Linked DNA regions of Rattus norvegicus. The protein of the gene in region 1 interacts with the protein of each later gene in a biochemical or structural test. Links are inferred from orthologs where the notes say so. Each region holds a gene or a part of one and is shown in the gene's direction. Other genes may lie near its edges.

Region 1 (7,780 bases):
TCTATTATGTAGCTCTGGACGTTTTGGAACTAGCTTTGTAGACCACCCTGGCCTTGAACTCACACCTTGATCTACCTGCCCCTGCTATCAAGGTGCTGGGACTAAAGGTATACAGCCGTGCCACCACACCCAATCTATGTTTTAAAGATTTTTTATAATTTTATTTTATGTGTATGGCTGTTTTGCCTGTATGTATATGGGTACCACATATGTTGTAATTTATGAGGGGGGGGGGCAGGAATATGTTAGATAGATCGAGGAGGTATGGTGAGGTGGGAGGCATTTCTTCCCCCGAGGTACCAGGCATACGATAGGTATAATATGGAATAGAGGTTATTATTTAGGGCATGGGAAGGGGAGTTGGGAAGGGAGGGGGGAGAGAGGGGGGGAGGGAGGAGGAGGGGAGAACAAAGAAGAGGAAGAAGCGGAAGAGGAGGAGGAGAGGAGGCTGGCCCCGGGAACACGTGGAGAAAAGGGGAGCAGGGGGAAGGGGAGAGAGGGGGAAAGGGGTCAGGGAGAGAAGGAAGTCAGAGAGAATAAGAGTAAGATAGAGAGGAAGGGGCAAACAGCCCCTTTTATCATAAGCCAGGCATACCTGGCTGTTGCCAGGTAACTGTGGGGCAGAGCCTAGAAGGAATGCTAACAAGTGTGCTTGGTACCCATAGGTCACAAGAGGATGTCAGGTCTCCTGGAACTATAGTTGTTTGCTACCATGTAAATGATGGAACCAAATCTTGCTCTCTGCAAGAGCAACAAGTGCTCTTAAACTCTAAGCCATTTCTCTAACCCCTTGCCACCAGGAGTAAGTTAGTAATGTCTAGTACATTATTAGTATTATTATTACTGGTTGTTGTGGCAGAGTATGTGTCCAGTTTGACTTCACTATGTAGCACAGGCTATATATACTTGGACTCATACTCTTCTACAAGTACCTGCATCTGTCTGTCCTGCCTCAGAGTTTAGCACCTGTTTCTGTCTACATTCTCTTTCCTGTTTGGGGACAGTGTCTGGATAGTTTTCTACCAATATCTATGTATATTTATTTTTTGTTTTTTTTGTTTTTTCTCTTTTTTCTGGGGCTGGGGACCGAACCCAGGACCTTGCGCTTCCTAGGCAAGCGCTCTACCACTGAGCCAAATCCCCAACCCCGTATATTTATTTTTTAAATTTCACTAGGCATGGTGGTGCGTGCCTTTAATCCAGCACCCAGGAGGCAGAGGCAGGTAGATCCCTGTAAATTGGCTAGCTGAGTCTACAGAGTGAATTCCAGGATAGCCGAGGCTGTTACACAAAGAAACCGCCTTGAAAAACAAACAAACAAGCCCCAAAAGAAACAAAAAATTAAATTACATCTGTTAAATGTGTACTGAATACACACGCATGTGCCTCAGATTGAGCATGGAGTCCGGACAATCTGAGGGGGTTGGTTCTTTGCTTCTACTTTGTGGGTCTTGTGGCAGGTAGTGCCTGTGTTCATGAGCCACCTCTTTGCCTCTATCGCCGCTCTCTCCCACCTTTTGCCGTGGTGGTTCGGGTGTGCTGAGGATACAGTTTAGGGCTTTGTACAGGCTAGGCAAGCAAGCGTTCTGCCACTCATTCAAATTTCCAGTCCCCATCCCTTATTTTCTTTGACCTTGTGTCTCTGGTATCCTAAAGTCTGCTCCCGGGGTTTAGGTAGGCTTGGCTCACAGGCACCCTACCCTGGTGAGTCTGGCCCCAGCAGTCCGTGGGGCCGTGAAAATATTCGCAAATATTTCTACGGGAAGCCCGCACTCAGCTTCCAGATTATACTATCCTTTTCAGAGGTAGAAGTGAGAGTCCAGAGGCTGGGTCTGGTGGGGGCGTGGCCCGCCGAATGGTGAACGCAGAACTGCCGAGATAGGAACAAAGGCTGGGGCGGGGCAAAACCTTGGGCCCCCAGCTTGATTGGGAACAAAGGCCACACCCGGGACAGTGGCGGGACACTCCTCGCCTCTCCGCTGCCACGTGGGTGAACACCTGGTTCTGCACGGAGGAGGTAGACTCTTGTTGAGAACCCTAGAGTTGCTTGTGGGCAACTCACTCTAGCCCAGACCCAGACCGTACCCAGTACACTGCAAGGCTGCAGAGGCATCCACTCAGCACGGCAGTAGAATGGCAAGGGGTACAGGTTGCCTTTTTAACACTGATCCTGCATCTGAGATGAACCGCTTCACCGCTCTTGATCCTGCTATTCTTTTCCTTAAATCAAATTCTTCAGCCAAGGTCCTGCTCCTCATGCAAGATTATTCCCCAGGTCTTATTTCTCCCTCAGATGAGATTCATCACTCAGATCCAACTTTTATTCCTTCGCGTTAGATGTTCAGTTCTTCCACCTCCAAAAAACCCACTAAAACCAGAATAGCAGAGGACTAAAACAGAAGAGGCTTTCGAAAGACTGGGCAGAATTTTACAGAATGGTTTCTCAGTACCTCTCTGTGATCTGCGGTTTGACTTGGACAACTTTTCGCTTCCCGAGTTTAACAATAAAAAAAGTTTGGGTTAAGACCGCCTCCACGCTCGGCGGGAACTTCCTGCCAAAGACCCCCTCACCCCCTCCACCTGGGCTCGGTCTCTGTGCTCAGCCGTGGCTCCGCCCTCTTCGGATTGTCCCGCCCCTCTTCGCGGACTATAGGCCAAGCTGCGGCTGCGGACGTCGCCACGCCTGCTAAGGAGGCGGGGCCTAAGGTACGGTTCTGCACGACTCGCGCTTTCCAGCACGCGAGGAATAAGCCTCGGTGCACTGTACGGTGGGCATGGGAGACATCACGCACGTACTCCGCGGGTGAATTTCCTACCGGTAGTCTTGCTATCCTGGACCTAGAGGGGCGGCTGCGAGTAGAAGGGAGGGCCCTGGCGCGTGCGTAATCTGCCTGCGCCCCGCCCCCAGGCTGCGGTGCCCAACGCGCGTGCGCGACGTCGTCGGCGCCAGATATTTCTGTCCCGCCTCCAGGCCGCGGCTCTTTCTGCGAGCGGCGCGCGGTCGGGCGGTTGTTCGCAATTCTTGCGGCGCGAGTCTCAGCAGCAAGGGAGGAGGCGGCGCGGGTGGCGGCGCCGTCGTCTGTAGAGAGGCCGGCAGCCAGCGGCTTGGCCGCATCTCGGCAGCGCCTGGGGCGCGGCGGGCGTCGGCCCAGGAGACGCGTGGCGGCGCTCGGCCTCGCGGCATCGGCGGCTGCCTGGCCGTTGGCGGCGAGCGCACTTGCGCCTGCGCAGCGGGCTCGGTGCCCCTCCTCCCCTGGGCGGCCCCCCCAACCCCCCGGCGGCGTGTGAATGGCGGCCTCGGCGGCGGCGGCGACTGCGGCGGCCTCGGCCGCGACGGCCGCGTCAGCGGCCTCTGGTAGCCCAGGGTCGGGCGAAGGCTCGGCGGGCGGTGAGAAGCGCCCCGCTGCCTCTTCAGCCGCGGCGGCCTCGGCCTCCGCGTCGTCCCCTGCGGGGGGCGGTGGCGAGGCGCAGGAGCTTTTGGAGCACTGCGGCGTGTGTCGCGAGCGCTTGCGGCCTGAGCGGGATCCTCGGCTGCTGCCCTGTCTGCATTCGGCCTGTAGTGCCTGCCTTGGCCCCGCTACACCCGCCGCAGCTAATAATTCGGGGGATGGCGGCTCGGCGGGCGACGGCGCTAGTGAGTACTGGGTGGCCAGGTGCCCCTCCCCCCTCCTTGAAGCCCGTGCTCGGGACTGCGCCTGTGCGAGAGTATGGGGGCCCGGGTAGGGTTAAGTAGGCCTGCTGGTTTAAGAGGGGGCGGGGAACGGGTGCTGGCGGCTTGCAATGCCGGTTACCAGGTCTGGACACCGAGATGCAGACTGTGGGGTAGGAGTCAAGAAAGCCGAGTGTCTGGCTCGACTTTTGAGTTGGGGGCATAGCTTAGGTGAGCATGCAGTTAGTTTTTTCACACATTCTTGTCTTGGCAGTGGTGGATTGTCCAGTGTGCAAACAACAGTGCTACTCCAAAGACATCGTGGAGAATTACTTTATGCGTGATAGTGGCAGTAAGGCCTCTTCTGATTCCCAGGATGCTAACCAGGTATGTCCTTTGGGATATCTTGTAAGAGAGGGAGGCATCTTTTCTGAAGCATCTCACCAGCTTAACTAGTTTGGATAGTATGTTCATAACAGTCTGAGTCTCTGGAAGGGTAGTACAGATTTGAATGCATTATGTAAAATTTAGTTTGTGTTTTCTGGGAAGTAAATAGAGGTCCGTTGGATAGTTCTGCCTGTTCTAACCCCCGCCTTTACTTCACTCACAGTGCTGCACTAGCTGTGAAGATAACGCCCCAGCCACTAGCTATTGTGTGGAGTGCTCTGAACCACTGTGTGAGACCTGTGTGGAGGCTCACCAGCGGGTGAAATACACCAAGGATCACACTGTGCGCTCCACGGGTATGTTGAAGATTTGAAGGCTGTTGGAACTGCCCTTTCTTGGTTGACTCAAGTGCATACTTGCAGGATGGGACAAGGTGTTTTTTTTAGGAACCTGACACAACTCAAAAATGCTTTGGTTCTGGAGCAGACTTTGGAGGTCTAGGTGGAAAGGGAAAGGCCACAGGTAGAGGATGTGTAGGGTTATTTAACACCTGCTACAAGTCAATACTAGGGATTCAACTAAGGTCATCTTGGAAGTCTCCAGGGGAAGGTTGTAGGTCCTGGTGGTGGGTCGATTAGCATAAGCAGCTAATGAAGGCAAGATGAAGTGACTTGGATTTGGATGTTCTCTGGCACCTGGCTTTAGCTGCTGAAAAAGGGCTTTTGAACAGGGAGAATTTCTTGACAAGTTAAGACTCTTAGGCCATTGTTTAGGGTGAGTCCTGGAGTAATTCAGCAGCAAGCCTTCAGCATCTTCCTAACTAAAGCTTATGGTCAGATTGATACCTTGTTTTCTGGGTTTGGTCCTGACTCTGATGTGATGGTGAGTTTCTTCCTACTTGGAAGGACATTGTTAAGGTAGTAGTAGAAGGCAGTTGTAAGGCCGGTGTGAGAAGTCAGGAGTGATAGGAAGAGGACTGCTCTTACTAGTGGTATGTAGTTTGGGCTTGGTTAATACAGCCTGAATTGGAATAGCATCGGGGAGAAAAGGGACTGATAGGTCAGTCCATACTTTTCTATTTTGGTGAGACACTGCTCAGGCTAGCCTTGGACCCCTCCCCAGACAGTTTCTGTGTATAGCCCTGGCTGTCCTGGAACTCTGTATAGGAGGCTAGCCTCTCAGATTTGCCTGCCTCTCCCCTGGGATTAAAGGTGTGTACCACCTGGTTTTCCCTTGAACATTTTATGCCCCTCCCACAGCTCCAAAGTGCTGGGATTAAAATAGGCATTTGGAATGTGCATGTTCCCCGCCCTTTTTGTTCATTTGTTTTCAAGACTGGGTTTCTCTGTTACGCCCTGGCTATCTTAGAACTTTTTTTTATTTTTGAGGCAAGGTCTGTATATAATCCTGTTCTTTAACTCACTAAGCCAGGAATCAGGGTGGCCTTCATGCAGAGATTCTACCTACCTCTGCCTCCCCAAGCGCTAGGTTTAAAGTTGTGACCCACAAGGCCTTTTTTGTATAGGTAGATGATAGCTCAGCATATAGTTCCTACTAGCCCATCTGGCCTGTAACTCACTCACTGCAAATCAGATTGGTCTCAAAGTCAGATCTTTGTTTTTTTTCTTTTTTGCCTCCTGAGTCCTGGGACTCAGGACTTTTGAGCATTTCACTGTAGAATCAAGTTAAGATTTTAGGAATGTGAGTACACTGTAGCTGTCTTCAGACACACTAGAAGAGGGCATCGGATCTCCATTACTGGTGGTTGTGAGCCACCCTGTGGTTGCTGGGAATTGAACTCAGCACCTTTGGAAGAGCAGTCAGTGCTCTTAACCGCTGAGCCATCTCTCCAGTCCAACAAGTCTGTTTTTTAATTCACCATATGCAGTTCAAGCTTACCTTGAACTTGTGATCATTCTGTTTCCTGGGTGCTGATAATACGATTAGTATTTTTAACAATAAGTGCTGGTGTTAAGTACTCTGAGCCATCAGGACCTTGTTTATTTGGCAATGGTTCATTGGCAGATGGAAAGATAACTGAGAAATAGTAAGTAGATTGTCTTTTCATAAGCTTGTTTTTATTCCTTATAATGTTAGTTGGTGTGGTCATTTGGGAGTAAAATTTCCAGATCTAGGTCTTAATAAATGGGCCAGGGTTTTGGGAAAAGCTGGGATAGGGTTATAAGGGGTTTGTTTTCTTTGTTGCTTGAGTTGGAGGTGACTAAGGGCAATTCCTATTTCTTAGGTCCTGCTAAGACTCGAGATGGAGAACGAACAGTCTATTGTAATGTGCACAAGCATGAACCCCTTGTGCTGTTTTGTGAGAGCTGTGACACGCTCACTTGCCGGGACTGCCAACTCAATGCTCACAAGGACCACCAGTGAGTCTCAAGGCGTAGGGGGTTGTTGGATACCATTTCTTAAGTTTTGCATGCAGGCTCACTTTTTTTTTGTGGTCTCAGGTACCAATTCTTGGAAGATGCAGTAAGGAACCAACGTAAACTCTTGGCTTCACTGGTGAAACGTCTTGGGGACAAACATGCCACACTGCAGAAAAACACCAAGGAGGTTCGAAGCTCGTAAGTTCCGGTGCCAGGGCTATTGGGGTCCCAGGGCAAGGTTTCTGGCTTGACTTGACTTGTCCATTAGGATCCGCCAGGTGTCTGATGTGCAGAAGCGAGTGCAGGTTGATGTGAAGATGGCCATTCTGCAGATCATGAAGGAGCTGAATAAACGGGGACGAGTTCTGGTCAATGATGCCCAGGTAAAATTTAGTGCTGGAATGGTATTGGTCTGCTTCTGCTGGTGGCTGACATGACAGTATCCAGGGTGGAGAAGGATCCTTCCTAGTGCTCTGCTTTCTTTAATGAGGCTGTTTTTTCCTTGACTTGCAGAAGGTGACTGAGGGTCAGCAGGAACGTCTGGAGCGTCAGCACTGGACCATGACCAAAATCCAGAAGCACCAGGAACACATTTTGCGCTTTGCCTCTTGGGCTTTGGAGAGTGATAACAATACAGCCCTCTTGCTCTCTAAGAAGCTGGTGTGTAGTGGTGGCCTTCATTATTCAGCTAGGTGGCCCCTCAGCACCTTGGGATCCTGTAAGTTGCCAACTATGCTTATGTGCTACATTTTTGCCCCATTAGATTTATTTCCAGCTGCATCGGGCCCTCAAAATGATTGTGGATCCTGTGGAGCCTCATGGTGAGATGAAGTTTCAGTGGGATCTCAATGCCTGGACCAAGAGTGCTGAAGCCTTTGGTAGGTTACTTAGTCCTTTGCTTTTTTTTTTTTTTTTTTTTTTTTTTTGCTCAACCATGGGAGCATTCAAAGCAGTATTGTGCCTAATGGGGTTTCTCTTTTCTTCAGGTAAGATTGTGGCTGAGCGTCCTGGTACAAACTCCACGGGTCCTGGGCCCATGGCTCCTCCAAGAGCCCCAGGCCCCCTAAGCAAGCAAGGTTCTGGTAGTAGCCAGGTGAGCTGGGTAGAGGAACCAAGGAGAGGGAATGAGGGCCATGGGGGTTTACTTATATCCCTGCTGATGGTACATGTTCTGTTCTTCTGTCTTTAGCCCATGGAAGTACAAGAGGGCTATGGCTTTGGGACAGGTAGGTAGCTTTGCCTAGGAAATTGGGCTTGGTAAGTACCCTCCCTGTCTTTGTCTTTTCTGCCAACTCTTTTGTTTTCTGAGCAGATGATCCCTACTCAAGTGCAGAGCCACATGTATCAGGCATGAAGCGGTAAG
Region 2 (7,324 bases), on another chromosome or scaffold:
GGTTGGTTTCTTAAAATCCTTTAGGATATTTAGACTTGACCTATCTTTTTGATTTGGAATAACTAACCATACCTTATAAACTCTAAGCTATTTGATTTATAGAAGACTTTTTAGACTCAGTTTATATAAGGCAAGGTTTTCATTAAAAGTTTTTAGAGGGGCTGGAGAGATGGCTCAGTGGTTAAGAGCACCAACTGCTCTTCCGGAGGTCCTGAGTTCAAATCCCAGCAACCACATGGTGGCTCACAACCATCCATAATGAGATCTGATGCCCTCTTCTTTGTGTCTGAAGACAGCTTCGGTGTACTTATATATAATTAATAAATCTTTAAAAAAAGTTTTTAGAATTTTTAGACTTTATAGAATATTTTTAGCTATTTCTTAGTGGGATTACAGGCATGTGCTACTCAGTCCAGCCTCCTGAATGTTTTCTGTCTGCATTAAATGGAGAGCACAAATCAGACAGAAACCATCATATGTGCACTAACTTCAGTTTTTGCTTAATACAACCAGAAAGATTACATACACCCTTGTGACTAGCTTGCTTTGTTCATGTGTGTCATGGACTATTTTTTAGTTCAGTGCATGAGAGCCCCCTCATTCTCTCAGTGGCTGAATATCCCACTGTATGGATGTACTTACTATACAACTAGTTTCCATACTGATGCACACTCATTTGTGTTTAGCTTTTGCTAACATTATGATGGGTTAAAGCCTTAATGTAAGGAAACAGATAGTGAAAGCTACTTTTAAGAAAAAAGAAACTTCCTTGTCACAGTCCTTTAACTAAATGAAATTGAATAAAAACTCTATTAAAAGTTAGGAGGAAGAGAAGCTGGAGAGGAGAGATGGCTCAGCAGTCAAGAGCACTGGCAGCTCTTCCAAAGGACCTGGGTTCAGTTGCTAGCATCCACATGGCAGCTCACAACTGTTTATATAACTCCAGTTCCAGGGGACCTGACACCCTCACACAGACATACATGCAGGCAAAATATCAATGCACATATACATAAATAAATAATAAATAAATGTATATATTTAAAAAGTTGGGAGGACCAAAATTGATACTTTTTCTCTGATCTTTTTGCCATGTGTATATCTGAATTCTTTGTTTTTAAAGAAGAAACAGCATTGAAGCATTATTTGGGGGGAAAAACACACACACAAAATCCAGCAACTCAGCATTCATGAGCAGCTCTGTTCTATACCAGTATGTGCCTGTGCAGTGGAAGGAAAGCAATTTTGGTAAGGAATTAAAACTTCAGCTTTAAACTCCCAGCAGGTTGATATTTATCAATGATGACTCAAAAAGAAAGTTTTAAATAATATATTGACAGCCATTTTTTTTTAGTTGTGAAGTCACCATACCTTTAATATCTGTAATTTCAGTGTAAAGTTTCCCCCTTTTTCCTTAAAGAAAAACAATCTGAATTTGCAGCCAACAAAATTTAGATGTACCTAAGGTATGTATTTCTTCTGACTAACATTATTAAGTCATCCACTATGATGTGTTTATGGGTCACCTAATCTTGTACTTTAAGAGGCCAAGTTCAGTAACTGCTGAGTTTTCATACAGTAACAATCTTTTTCTAGGGACCATCCATTTAGATGTGTTAAAATGTTCATGTATTTTGGTTATTACAGTACGTACATGGGGGCTATTGTTAGTACCTAGGGATAACTGATATGCATCTTTCATTAATGTAAACTTTTTTCTGCCTTTTGCATTATATAGGAAATATATCCCGGACAGTTCCAGCCATCTCTGTGTCACAAATTCATAGCTTTGTCAGATAAGGAAGGAAAACTACTTCGAAATTATACTCAAAATATAGATACCTTGGAGCAGGTTGCAGGAATCCAAAGGATCATTCAGTGTCATGGTTAGTAAAAGTCACAGTGGCTTTCTGTAGGGTGCTTATTGTAATAGAATATTCATGCTTGGAAAGAAGCTATCTAGTAACGAGATTAAGCATTAATTGTTTAATCTTGAATGTACAAAAATAGAGGAGGATAAAAAAATAAAGGCCTCAGATGTGGTGGGTATATATTTTGATAACAAGTTTTAGGCTAGCCTTGACTACAAGACACAAGCAAGCTAAGGTAACTCAATTGGAATCTTCTAGCTGCAGCTTTAAGCACTTGCAGAGTTGTGTTATTACAAATAGTTTTGGAGGATGAGGACTACATGTACATATATTAGTATGTAACTGTATCCATGTATTATATTCCTTACAAGACTTTGCAGGAGAATCCAGGTTAAAGTTGTCATGGTGAGGCTGGAGAGACGGCTCAGCAGTTAGGAGCATTAAGAGCACTGACTGCTCTCCCAGGCATCCTGTGTTCAATCCCCAGTTACCCACAGGATGGTTCACAACTATCTATATATGAGCTGATTCCCTCTTCTGACATGTAGCTGTGCGTGCAGATACAGCAGTCGTTATACATAAAATTTTAGTAAGTCTTCATGGAGTAAGCCACAAAGTCTTTCAATAAAAGTTATATATTGGTTGTTTTAGGTTCCTTTGCAACAGCATCTTGCCTGATTTGTAAATACAAAGTTGATTGTGAAGCTGTTCGTGGAGATATTTTTAATCAGGTAATTTAATTCATCTCACTTCATTCACTTTTGGTTGTATCCTCATCTTTTCCTCTCTTGTGAGAAGTACGTGCTGTACGGAGTGTGTTAGAAATTCTGGTGTAAATAGGCCATCTTTCTCTACCTTAAGTAGAAGATCCCTTTGCACGGAGGATGTTAGAGCACACCACTTGAAAGCTGAGGGCAGGGGATTGATTGAGAGAGCAGGCTAACCTGAGCTGGATAGAGTAGAAGTTTTTATGTTGCTCCATTGGTAGAATGGCTGCTTAGCATTTGTAGTCCTGGGATTGCTCTCTAGTACCAATAAATCTGGTGTGTGGGCACATGCCTGAAATCCTAACATTTAGGTAATTGGGAGTTGAAGGTCATGGTCACCTACAAACAAGTTTGAGGCCAGCCCTCATTACATGAGACCCTTTCTCAACCAACCAACCTAAAATCCTCCATAATACACTTAACTACCTCCTTATAATCTAGGCCCAAAACTGGAGGCTTGGTTATAAGTTGCAGGGAATACCTCTGCATTAGTCATTTAAAACACTTTAGGGCTAGAGAGATGGCTCAGTGGTTAAGAGCACTGACTGCTCTTCCAGAGGTCCTGAGCTCCAATCCCAGCAACCACATGGTGGCTCACAACCATCTCTAATGAGATCTGATGCCCTCTTCTGGTGTGTCTGAAGACAGCTACAGTATACTTAGAAATAATAAATCTTAAAAAAAATTCAAAATGATAGTGAAGTATTTATTAAAGGAATATATAGCAACACATCCAGAAATATGTCCTGTGTGTTTAACTAAAATCATGTCTAATCCAGAAAAAAAAAGTATATTCCAATGGAGTCATTTTTACAAACATTTTGAAAAGGTCTTATGTGCATGCTTTTCTATGCTCTTTGCATATTTATAGTGTTTTGTGTGTGCAGTGGGGAAATAGCATGTATTTATAGTGTTTTTTGTGTGCACAGTGGGGAAATAGCACGTGTGGAGACGGGAGACAGAGGGTGAGAGATCAGGCTGTGGTGGTCAGAGGATCAACCTGGGAGTCAGTTCTCAATTTCTACCTGGGAGTTAAATTTGGTTGTCAGTTTGGTGGAAAGTGTCCTTACCTGGTGGACTCATCACCCCAGCCCCACCCTGGCTCCACAGCAGCATACTATCAAATTTATGACTGCACAGCTTTTGTTTCTGGGAATTTTGCCAACTGCTAACCTGGGCTACTACTTCGCTCTCAATGTTTTGTGCAGGTAGTTCCTCGGTGTCCTAGGTGCCCAGCTGATGAGCCACTTGCCATCATGAAGCCAGAGATTGTCTTCTTTGGTGAAAACTTACCAGAACAGTTTCATAGAGCCATGAAGTATGACAAAGATGAAGTTGACCTCCTCATTGTTATTGGGTCTTCTCTGAAAGTAAGACCAGTAGCACTAATTCCAAGTAAGTTGGTTTAGGGGACAGTTCTGCGTGCTGAGTTGTGGATCTGTGTAAGATGTGACTGTTTTTATTTAGAGAATAGTTGGAAGGTCTAACCTGTACTTTTTAGGTGATCTTCATAAAGTGACATTTTGATATGGGAATGGGGCTACGAAGACAGAACTAACATCAAATTTTAATTGTTCATATAAAATCAAAGCAAAACTATGTGACTCATGCTTTTTAGTAGTATGTATATTAAAGTCAGCTTCAATTAATTCCATGTTTATTTTTATGTTTGGGTGTTTTGTCTGCATGTGTGCCTACTTTGGCCAGACAAGAATGTTAAGAGTGTACCCTTCCACCCAAAGTGGTTCTCAACCTTCCTAATGATTCAGTCCTTTAGTACAATTCATGTTATAACCTCTAGTGATAAAATTAGTTTTGTTACTTAATAACTGTAATTTTGCTAGTTATAAATCACAATGTAAATGTTTTTTTCTGATGGTCTTCGGCAACCCCTGTGAAAGGCTTATTTAACCCCCAAAGGAGTTTTAACCCACAGTTTGTGACCCACCGCTCTAGAATATGTATAGTATCTCCCCACTGTGCACACAAAAACACTATAAATACATGCTATTTCCCCACTGCACACACAAAACACTATAAATATGCAAAGAGCATATTCATCAGTCCATCTCTGGGACACACCATCTACACACACAGTTCTCATCACACAGTCAAGAGCACCATTCTTGAGAGGATCCAGGATGAGTTCCTCACATCCAAATAAGTTTGTCTCCAGTTTATAGGGGATCTGTTGCTCCATTTGGCCAAGTACTCGAATTGTACATGCACATGTATGGAGTATAGAGACACATAGTGCACCTTCCCCTATACACACATAGACACACTTTTTTTTTTGGTTCTTTTTTTTTTCAGGAGCTGGGGACCGAACCCAGGGCCTTGCGCTTCCTAGGCAAGCGCTCTACCACTGAGCTAAATCCCCAACCCCGACACACTCTACTTCTTGAGACAAGATCTCACTACACTTGGCACTGGGACATCTATGTAGACTAGGTTAGCCCTAGAGAATAGAGAATGCCTGTTCAGTCTCTCCTGAGTGATGGGATCAAAGGCATGTGCTACTGCTCCCAGCTAATCTTCGGTAGCCAGGAGTGGTGGTATATACCTGTCTGTAAACCATGTGGTATAGGGTAAAGGCAGGAGAGTCAGGAGTTCAAACAATAGCTTCTACTTAGCAAATTTTGGGGCCAGCCTGGGATATATATTAAAAAAAAGTTTATTCCTTAACAGTTGTAGCTCCACAAGGGTATTTGCTTATGTCCAGGAACATAGCCTATTGGCTAACATAATCCCAAAAGGTGATTTTTCCTTTTTTTTAATTGAAACTACCCCTCCATGTCCAAGTTTCTGTCATTCTTGATGTCTTGAAATGCATAAGGGTCCACCTGCCTTCTTTACGAAGTGTTAAAGCCGTGAGCCTCCAGGACTACTAGCTAGACTTTATTTTTTTAAGCTAATTCAGAGGATCTTGTTGATTAAAAATTTAAGCTCTCTGAACTTGAACATCTGTCTAATGAGCCTGAGACAGGATTGCCATAAAGTTTAAGGCCACAGAATAGCACAGCCTCAGTGGGAGAAAAGTACATGGTTATTGAGAGGAAATTGCTTCTGAAAATGTAAAATGCATCCCTGTTGACCCTTTTGTTGTTGTTGAGACAAGGTCTCATTGGGATTCCAGTGTTGGGATAAGGGAGTTGTCATTACATTTCTCTCCATTTTCTAACTTACCTTTTTACCTTTTTTTTTTAGGTTCTATACCCCATGAAGTGCCTCAAATATTAATAAATAGGGAACCTCTGCCTCATCTACATTTTGATGTAGAGCTTCTTGGAGACTGCGATGTCATAATTAATGAGTTGTGTCATAGGTTAGGTGGCGAGTATGCCAAACTTTGTTGTAACCCTGTAAAGCTTTCAGAAATTACTGAAAAACCTCCACGAACACAAAAGGAATTGGTTCATTTATCAGAGTTGCCACCAACACCTCTTCATATTTCAGAAGACTCAAGTTCACCTGAAAGAACTGTACCACAAGACTCTTCTGTGATTGCTACACTTGTAGACCAAACAATAAAGAACAAAGTTGACGATTTAGAAGTATCTGAACCAAAAAGTTGTGTGGAAGAAAAATCACAGGAAGTACAGACTTATAGGAATGTTGAGAGCATTAATGTGGAAAACCCAGATTTCAAGGCTGTTGGTTCCAGTACTGGAGACAAAAATGAAAGAACTTCTGTTGCAGAAACAGTGAGAAAATGCTGGCCTAATAGACTTGCAAAGGAGCAGATTAGTAAGCGTCTTGACGGTATGGAATGCTTTTTGTTGAACCACTTTCAAAGTACTGTGATCAGAGAAAGGAAAGATAACTGCTTTGACATTAGTTGATCAAGGTAGTGCTGGTATTATTTGTTTGTGTGTATTAAGCTGGAGTAAGTTTAGGTGATGTGTTTGTTTTTGTGTGATTAAACCTAGGGCTTCAAGCAGCTAGGCAGCTTGATCTGTCAACTGAGAGCCCCAAGAGTGGGTTTTAAAGTATATTGCTGTGCTGTTTTAAGTGGCAGAAATGATTTATTTAAAAAGGTGGCTCACCAGGTAAATGTACTCTTGAGTCTTGAGTGCTTACTGTGGGTCATTTTATGATCTTACAAGGCAGGAGCCATGTTCTAGGTGGCAAAACTCAGGGTTTAAAAGATCTTATCACATATATATGTATGTGTGTCTCATTGATATGACCCCTGGAAGGTAATTGGGTTATACCTTCCTCTAGAGACTCAACCCTCTGGGCTGCCTTGTTTAAGATCTGAAAACAGGATTCCTATCTATCTACTGGACATCTATTTTGTCCTATTAACATAAGCAAGATACTTGACATTTTGAAGAATCATATGTTAAGCATAAAGTATGGCCCCATAAGAGTCTTAAAGGCCTCATTTGGACAGCAAGCTGGCCTTTAAATGTGTGTACTTTGATCCTTGGTAAGCATCTTAACCATAACAATTGGGACAACAACAGAGCACTATAATATAAAATCTATATACCCTTTATATGCACAAATACCCAACAGACTTCTTAAGGGCAAGGGTCTCATTATATAGCCCTGAGAGGTCTGCTTTTGTACCTGAGTGCTGGGATTCATAACATCTGTAGTTTCTTTGACAGTTACCTGGCACTCATCTGTCTGTCTTGAGTGCTAGGATTGTAGCCATGAGCTATCACAGCCTAGCCAAGAAAT

Evidence for each region.
Region 2: of the proteins of Trim28 (region 1) and Sirt1, one has a biochemical effect on the other in vitro, tested with the Homo sapiens proteins (2 studies listed by BioGRID). The link is inferred for Rattus norvegicus from reciprocal best matches to the Homo sapiens genes TRIM28 and SIRT1.

The regions. Positions count from the first base shown.
Region 1 is NC_086019.1:82,721,890-82,729,669, forward strand, and holds the start of Trim28 (transcription intermediary factor 1-beta), read left to right. Parts: upstream 1-3,005; 5' UTR 3,006-3,288; coding exon 3,289-3,634; intron 3,635-3,923; coding exon 3,924-4,036; intron 4,037-4,259; coding exon 4,260-4,392; intron 4,393-6,281; coding exon 6,282-6,417; intron 6,418-6,498; coding exon 6,499-6,615; intron 6,616-6,685; coding exon 6,686-6,800; intron 6,801-6,930; coding exon 6,931-7,077; intron 7,078-7,180; coding exon 7,181-7,295; intron 7,296-7,403; coding exon 7,404-7,510; intron 7,511-7,606; coding exon 7,607-7,643; intron 7,644-7,729; coding exon 7,730-7,775; intron 7,776-7,780. UniProt on the Homo sapiens protein: Nuclear corepressor for KRAB domain-containing zinc finger proteins (KRAB-ZFPs).
Region 2 is NC_086038.1:25,318,055-25,325,378, forward strand, and holds part of Sirt1 (NAD-dependent protein deacetylase sirtuin-1), read left to right. Parts: intron 1-1,120; exon of another isoform or gene 1,121-1,212; coding exon of another isoform or gene 1,213-1,245; intron 1,246-1,735; coding exon 1,736-1,883; intron 1,884-2,519; coding exon 2,520-2,599; intron 2,600-3,843; coding exon 3,844-4,030; intron 4,031-5,842; coding exon 5,843-6,397; intron 6,398-7,324. UniProt on the Homo sapiens protein: NAD-dependent protein deacetylase that links transcriptional regulation directly to intracellular energetics and participates in the coordination of several separated cellular functions such as cell cycle, response to DNA damage, metabolism, apoptosis and autophagy.